Kluyveromyces lactis: one gene and its partner. The protein of the gene in region 1 binds, or shares a complex with, the protein of each later gene. Links are inferred from orthologs where the notes say so. Each region holds a gene or a part of one and is shown on either strand. Other genes may lie near its edges. The genes, in order: STU2 and TUB2.

Evidence for each region.
Region 2: the proteins of STU2 (region 1) and TUB2 are in contact, whole or in part, in a crystal structure (PDB 4U3J), measured with the Saccharomyces cerevisiae proteins. The link is inferred for Kluyveromyces lactis from reciprocal best matches to the Saccharomyces cerevisiae genes STU2 and TUB2. Residues at the interface, in NP_013146.1 of Saccharomyces cerevisiae: Ser339, Trp341, Arg344, Ala384, Asn385, Ile386, Gln387, Lys425, Lys427, Lys428, Lys469, Thr470, Pro471; in NP_116616.1 of Saccharomyces cerevisiae: Tyr106, Thr107, Glu108, Ala110, Glu111, Asp114, Lys154, Glu157, Pro160, His195, Ser400, Glu401, Gly402, Glu407.

Annotation. Positions count from the first base shown.
Region 1 is NC_006041.1:1,460,446-1,465,029, forward strand, and holds STU2 (Stu2p), read right to left. Parts: upstream 2,903-4,584; coding exon 404-2,902; downstream 1-403. Other genes in the region: thioredoxin TRX2, read left to right, coding at 3,472-3,786; SER2 (phosphoserine phosphatase), read right to left, coding at 3,854-4,584.
Region 2 is NC_006040.1:454,664-458,294, forward strand, and holds TUB2 (beta-tubulin), read right to left. Parts: upstream 1,948-3,631; coding exon 598-1,947; downstream 1-597. Other genes in the region: PER33 (Per33p), read left to right, coding at 3,209-3,631. UniProt on the Saccharomyces cerevisiae protein: Tubulin is the major constituent of microtubules, a cylinder consisting of laterally associated linear protofilaments composed of alpha- and beta-tubulin heterodimers.

The DNA of each region.
Region 1 (4,584 bases):
CGGCTTGGAGGATGTCTGCTTTGGCTGTTGTTAAAAATCGCATCAACTGATCCGAGGAATCATCAGTGGGAACGACGTGCATGGAAAAGAAACGTGCTGAGAGTGATGGGCTTAGTTGCCGTTATTTGCATTTTGAAATGCATATAACGGTGTATCTTCCCTCTAGTTGCATATCTGGAATATCTGACGATTTTCGGAGAATTTTGGAGAAAAAGAAACTTTTCGGAAAAACTAGGAGGCTGCACCAGAGATAAGCAGAGAGAAGACGTTGCTATATATTACCCGGGACAATATATGCATTCTAGGTCATGTGACTGGAAGCTTCCCTCTCTGGTTGTCATGTCGGAGTTTGCGCTCAATTCGTCGTTTATACAGGAATCTATTTTGTACATAGTGGATTCTCTTAATCTACGCCGAGATTGTTGAAACCGGACCTGGATTTGGCCCTCATTCTTTCTATACGTGCCTTTAATTGGTTCGTAACTTCTGCAGCTCGTTTCCACGATTCCTCTTGCAACATATGGTTGTTCAAGTTTAGGGAATTGACACGTCTAGGTAGATCGTCGCTACTTTCACTAGGCGATCTGACCCTTTGAGGAGTCGTAGCATTTTTAGTAGATCTCAGAGGTGATAAGGTAGTTGCTGTTAATCTTCCTCTGCTAATGGACGAGGATATGGGTGAATCTGTTGACATGGTATCGGAAGTACCGCCCGTCAGTTTACTCTCTAACTCCTTGATCTTTAAATTCTTAGCGTTCAATTGATCCTTCGAATCCTGCAATTGCCTTTGTAAATTGGAAACGTATGTCTCAGACTCGTTCAAGAGTTTATTTACTTTGGAAAGTTGTAAATTGGATTGATTTAAGTTGGATAAGAGATCGTTGCGCTCCCTTAGCCATTCTTGTCTCTCTTGTCTTAATTTGTTCACTTCATCGTTTAAATGTGACATTCTGTTGGATATGTTTGTCTGTGGTGTGAAATTGCCAGAGAGGCTTGTGTTGGAACTGGTATTAGATTTGGGTTGTGTTGAGGAAGGCAGATCCGTATGGTTCATCATTTGATGAGTAGTTAGAGACCTTGAAGTCAACCTGGACGACTTCGTGTTGCCATTCAAGGCAGAGTTACGTGCCGGTTTCAATGGAGAAGTGGCCAGTCGTTTTGAAGGGATCGTTGAAGACAAGGGTTGGGATCGTACTACTGGTGCCGCTGATCTTAATTGGGTTTGCGGTTGGGTTTGGTGTGGAGGTGGAACCGTTGCCGCCTTGATCTCCACTTTATCAACAAGTTCAAGGATCTTCTTCCTTTTCAAGTTATCGAGCTTGTCCAAATATGTTGATAGTTCTCTTTCATCGAATATCTTAATTAAGATAGCAATACACTTGAAACCCTCATTTCTTGTTGCCTGTTGATTGTCGTTTACAATGGGCTGCAAAGAATTGAGTATCGCTGGCAAATTGGAGAATACCGACGTTCTATGAAGAGTTTCAGTCGGTGTCCAATTGGATAGCAACTCGAAAAGAAATTTCGAGCATACAATTTTTACCTGTGGTACTTTGTTCTTCATGTGTTGTAACACAGACTCGAGACATAGCTCTAATTTATAGTACTTTGAAAGGTTCAGGAGAGCATTGAAAATAGAATCTGCGACGTTTGGTTTTTTCTCCTTTGATCTAGTTAGGAGAGCGTTTAAAGTTTCCAATGCGAATGGGTTATATTCTGATCTTAATGCGGATATTAGTATATCTAAACTGCTGGTAGATATTTGTACTGCTTGTAGGTTTGCATCGGAAGTGATAGTCGAGCAAAATTTGTGAATGATTTCAGAATGATCTTCATTTGATGCTGACAATTTTTTAACCTTGGTTAAAGTCTGATCGTGGAACTCTTCTAAAGCTTCCACTCTATCCTTCCATTTGCTAGACGCCAAACTCTGATAGAAATTATTCGGTAGCTTATCTAATATAGTTTGTACGGGGAACATATCATATGGATCGATTGATTGGTTATCCAGAGCAGCGGCAGACTGGCCGTTATTACCTGCCATTGCTAGATCTCCGTCATGATCCAAGGGTAAATCAGTTGAATTGTTATCACTCTGAGCCGGGACTGCCCATATAAACTGAGACGGTGTTGAAGAAGGCGGTATAGTGCCCTGGTACGATTCAAACAGTTTATCCAGGTCCTTCTGTTGTATGGGCTTCAACTTCCCCAATAGAAGCTCTTGAAGTACAGGTTTATTAAACCATGTATATAGTTGTAAAATCAACTGCATTGACTCATTCCTCACAGATTTATCCGCATGTGAGCAAAGTTTAGGTAAAACTTCCACTAGACCCTGTAACGATTGCATCTTCTCCTGTTGAGAAACGTTCACGAACCCAAACTGCTCTATCAACTTTACATGAACCATTAACGCTGCAGTCAACAGCTTCGGTAATTTTTTGGTCCAAATCGGCGTCAGACAATTGATTGCATTTACGATATTATCATCCAATGACACGACAAGCGAAACGCAGGCCAATGAAGCCTCTTTCGTCGCTGATTTCGAGGAAGTCATACCTTTCTCCACCAGAGCTGGAACCCAGCCCTGAACCAATTGACCCGGCTGACACAAATCTCTGATCTGGGGTACGTCGATCATAAATTTCAACAAACTGTACAAGGCCTTAACGGCAGATTCTTGTGCAACAACATTGGAATCCAATACGTACCCCGTGAAAATCTCAGGTTTCTTCCAATACTTATTAACGCCACTCTCTGCAACTCTAGCAACGGACAGTTTATTGAATGTGCTTTCTAGCTCATTATATCCATGCTGTCTTGCCTTCCAAAGCTTATGAACAAGTCTCTCATCTAGTGACAGAGTCTGAAAAGACGCCGAATCATCCGTAGCGTTATCCATGGGAGATATACACACGCGATACAGCTGGCAGCACCCTGTGTTGACTCACTGACCGTCTATTTTATTCATGTTGTCTCGTCTGTTTGTTTGTTTACTGGTTGATTTTGATTGTTTTTGTTTACAGAAACGATTGATTTCAAGTCATGTGATATATCACGTGACTTTGTTGATATGCTTTGGATCGGGTTTGCAGAAACCTGAATAATGGGAGGGTAGGATCTATTATACACGTACACGCCCCTCCAATCACTCAATCGGCGCTGATGCGTGTTGGTTGAACATTATACAGTCAATTCAAGCCATTCAAAACACCGTTACACGAGTGTTGGCGCTTCCACCTGCTTACAAATGGACGGGTTCTAGCTGATTCCAGCTCTCGATTCCTGATTAGCAAGCAAAAATTTGTCAAAAACTCGATATTTAACCAACATTATTATATAAAGGAAGTAAGATACATTTAAAGGTTATTTAGTTGTCTCTTCGATTGATTATCGGATAATCTGATAACTTTCTATCCTCATCAAATAAGGTACAATTTATCTTTACTATCCCCTCCAATTTCATATATAATGGTCGCTCAACTTACTTCCGCATCCGAATTCGAAAAGGCTTTGACTGACGACAAGTTGGTCGTCGTCGACTTCTTTGCCACCTGGTGTGGTCCATGCAAGATGATTGCCCCAATGTTGGAAAAGTTCGCTAAGGAATACGAGGGTAAAGCTACCTTCTTGAAGGTTGACGTTGATGAGTTGCCAGATGTTGCAAAGAACAACGATGTCAGTGCTATGCCAACCCTAGTTTTCTTCAAGTCCGGTAAGGAAATTTCTAGAGTCCTAGGTGCTAACTTGGCTGCTATCAAGCAAACCATTGCTGCTAACGTGTAAAATTTTTTGTACACTGCTTATAATATACATTTTACTATATATATATCAGAATAAATTCTTTACATTTCTATTCTTTGATCATGGTTTCTATCTCCTTCTCAGTGTGCCCCAGGATGTATAGGACGTCTATCATTGTATCACTGTTTAACTTACATGGGGCTTGTTCTTGGACCTTTGGCTTGGCGTTCCATGCGATTCCGAACCCAGCTGCGGCCATTGCGTTCAAATCATTACCACCATCTCCGACCATGACGGTGGATTCGATCGGAGAATTGTACTGTTCTGCAAGAGCCACCAACGTCTTGGCCTTGCGCACTCCGTCAACTATATCGCCGAGTGCTTCACCGTTCAATTGTTCAGTACCGTCATCCGACACTTCCACACCCAGAGTATTAGCCAATGCAAAATCGAAGTTTAACTTTTCCTTAATGTAGTTAGCAAACGGGATGAACCCACCACTTAACACTGCCAATTTACAACCTTGGGACTTCAACGCCCTCGATAGCTCTGGGACACCCTTGGTGACTCTTAATCTAGGTTTAATTTCATCGTATAAGTGTCTCGTTTGAATTCCCTTCAATAATTTCACACGTTCTCTCAAAGATTGACAGAAATCGATCTCATTATTCATGGCACGGTCCGTGATCAATTTCACTTGAGGTTCCACATCCGCGTATGCGGCAATCATCTCGATGACTTCTTGGTAAATCAAGGTTGAATCCATGTCAAAAACAAACAATTGCTTGTTCTTTCTGAACTCATTGTCCAATTGCACGATGAGGTCTACACCAGAGAACA
Region 2 (3,631 bases), on another chromosome or scaffold:
ATATTTCACATCAGTTTAGTTCCTTATTAATTTTTTTCTTCGGGTACTATTGTGAAAAATTTATTTCTTTTTGTTCTTGGTATGTTTCGTTGATCTGTGAAATGATTGATCAGGCCTGGGGAAGAGGATAAGTCATTGAAACATTCACATACTACTGTGTTGACATCTGAGTCAAATATATCATGAAGAATCACGTATTATAATGTGAAGACTAAAATTATGTAGTAAGATATGATATTATTAAAAAAAAATAGAAACAAATACTAAAGAAATGTTTTGGGTCACATTGATAGTACATATCATTGAGCAGAGAAACAAAAAGCATATAAATTATAGTAAGGGTGGTATCATATTTCGAAATTTTCCGCTTCTACTAGTGGTGTGGGGAATAGTATTAGAATAGTAGAAGTAACGAAAGGAAAACTATAAGAAGAAAGAAAATATCTTTCTGAAGTACATTGTTTATTGTTTATCTCGTGTCCAAATAATTTGCTTTCAGTGGTACTGCTCTCAAAATGATAAACTTATCTTCTGTACACATCTGATCTTTGTTCCTTATTCCTTTTTTTTTCCTGCTGAAGTTTTCCTTTATATTCTTTACTCGAAGTTTTCAGCCATTGGTTGTTCGTCAACGAATTCCAATTCTTCGTCATCTTCAACAGTAGCATCTTGATATTGTTGGTATTCACTTACTAAGTCATTCATGTTAGATTCAGCTTCAGAAAATTCAATTTCTTCCATACCTTCATTAGTATACCAATGCAAGAAAGCTCTCTTCTTGAACATAACACTAAATTGATCTCCGACCCTTCTGAATAATTCTTGGATGGATGTAGAGTTACCAATGAAAGTAGCAGACATGTCTAAGTCCTTTGGAGGTACAGAACAGACGGCTGTTTGCACGTTGTTTGGAATCCATTCTACGAAGTACGACGAGTTTCTAGTTTGAACCTTATGCATTTCATCTTCAACTTCTTTCACGCTTACTTTACCACGGAAGAATGCAGCAACAGTCAAGTACCTTCCGTTTCTTGGATCAGATGCAGCCATCATATTTCTTGAATCGAACATTTGTTGGGTCAATTCTGATACAGATAGGGATCTGAAAGATTGGGCACCAATCGAGGTTAATGGAGCATAACCAACCATGAAGAAGTGTAATCTTGGGAAGGGCACCAAATTCACGGCCAATTTTCTTAGATCTGAGTTCAATTGACCTGGGTAACGTAGGGATGTAGTGACACCAGACATGACACTTGAAACTAAATGGTTCAAGTTCGCATAATCTGGTTGTGGTAATTTTAGAGTAGTTTGACATATATCGTAAAGGGCTTCATTATCGATACAGAAAGTTTCATCAGCGTGTTCGACTAATTGGTGTACAGATAGAGTGGCATTGTATGGTTCTACAACGGTATCTGAAGTCTTTGGGGATGGGACAACGGAGAAAGTAGCCATCATTCTGTCAGGGAATTCTTCTCTGATCTTAGAGATCAACAAAGTACCCATACCAGAACCGGTACCACCACCAAGGGAATGGGCGATTTGGAAACCTTGCAAAGAGTCACAACCTTCAGCTTCACGTCTGACAACGTCCATGACAGAATCCACCAATTCAGCACCCTCAGTGTAATGACCTTTAGCCCACACGTTACCTGCTGAAGATTGACCGAAAATGTAGTTATCTGGTCTGAACAAAGTACCAATCTTAGAGTTACGTACAGCATCAATGGTACCAGGTTCCAAATCAATGTTAACGGATCTTGGAACCCATTTACCAGAAGAGGCTTCGTTAAAGTAAACGTTCAATCTAGCCTTTTGAATATCATCGATACCGTGATAGTTACCTTCAAAATCCAAACCGTGTTCACCACAAATAGTTTCCCAAAACGCAGCACCAATTTGGTTACCACATTGACCTGTGGACAAATGAATGATCTCTCTCATGTTTTAGAATATCTCTGAGCGCGTTATTGATCTGATCTCAAAAAATGACAATTGAAGAAACACAGCACAGGCAAATTGTAGAAAGACTTGGTGTTGATACAATCGAGGGGTATCTATAATCCAGTAATTGTTGATCCTTGTTCTTTCAAGAAAAAAAAATAATTATGCGATCTCTCTGTCCTTTACAAGAAAAAAGTGAAATATAATATGGGTAAAAATAGTAGTCTTGTCCACAGTATATTAAACAAACAAACTAACAAATCGAAATAGACGAGTTCTCACAGCTGTTATCTATAAAGTTATCTCTAACCCGTGCAAGCCTGTTCACAATCACGTCTGTGTTCACTTATTTAACCACTTTAAATTGTTTATTTATTTGTTTTTATTTGTTTATTTTTTTCCTCCTTCTCTTTCCTCATATCTTTGTTTGTATTTTGATCTTTGTTTCACTTCTTTAGGCAATTTTCGAGCACGTCTATTTCCCTTTGTGGGTTGCTAAGTGTGCGGGTAATACGGGAAACGGAAACTTACATCGCGTGATTTGCACGTGACTGTGATGTGTGAATTCCTGCGTAGTGTCAGTTCATCTAAAGACAAGAGTTGAGGTTGCAAGTGAGCAACACATTCCCCTAAGATTTAGAATAGTTGTCGAAGTGTTCCATGAGTCCAAAGACTGAACAGACTATTTTCTCGGATCATTTTCTTCACAGCTGACTTTCCGTATATGATAGAATCATACGGAAACTGGAATACTGCAATTTTCCCTAACTTTCGATTCTAGCTGACATTTAAAGACGATGTGAAAATTTAAAGAGAAACGGATTTCAGGATTAGGAAATTTAAAGAGGGAAAAAACGTCCAGTACAGTTTGTTAAGAGAAGGAAACCTATTAGTTGGAGAAGCGAAAGAGGGTTTGACTAGTTGGAATTGATCTGTCCAGTGCTACATTTTTATGTATATAGTAATCGGAAGGTTACTTTGATTAAGCTACGGTATTCTATTTCGAACCGAATCGAATCGGATCAGGTTAGCAGGTCTCTTTTTTTTTTTTTTTTCTTATATTTTTGGCTATCAATTGATTAACTGATTGTGTATTGAAGACGAAAGCTGTTTACATATTTAGCTTTTCAAGGTGTTTTTGTCATCGTTGATTGTGAACTCTTAACTTAGCGGCTCAATAGCAGTTGATTATCTCGTCTCCAAAAGAACTTTCGTGAGTTAGTTACTAAGGTTTCATTTTAAAGGTTTTCTTTTCAAGAAGATGTCTGAGGGAAGTGGCAATGGCAGTGGTAATCGTTATTCCAATGCTGCCGGTCAAAATGGAGGCAACAGGCCTGCTCAGAGACCTGTAGCCCCTCTGAGTGCTGTGTTCCGTACGAAGTTGAAACAGCCTCAGTTCTATTGGTTCCTTGGTCACACGTTATGCTTATACTATTATATCCAATATATGCTCTCATTCCGAGAACAAAGTGTAAAGACAAATTACAGGAAGATCATGCTATACACAGTGATCAGTTATGGGATTGTGCTTCACCAATATGTGAAATCAAAACAGTTAAGATTCCAGTGGTCGAATTTAAAACAGCAGATCAGACAGTTGGATAACCTACAATATTTTACACTTTCCATTGTTCTTTTGATATGTTCTCTATCAGGAGGGAAAACTTTAACTCAAACTGAATCA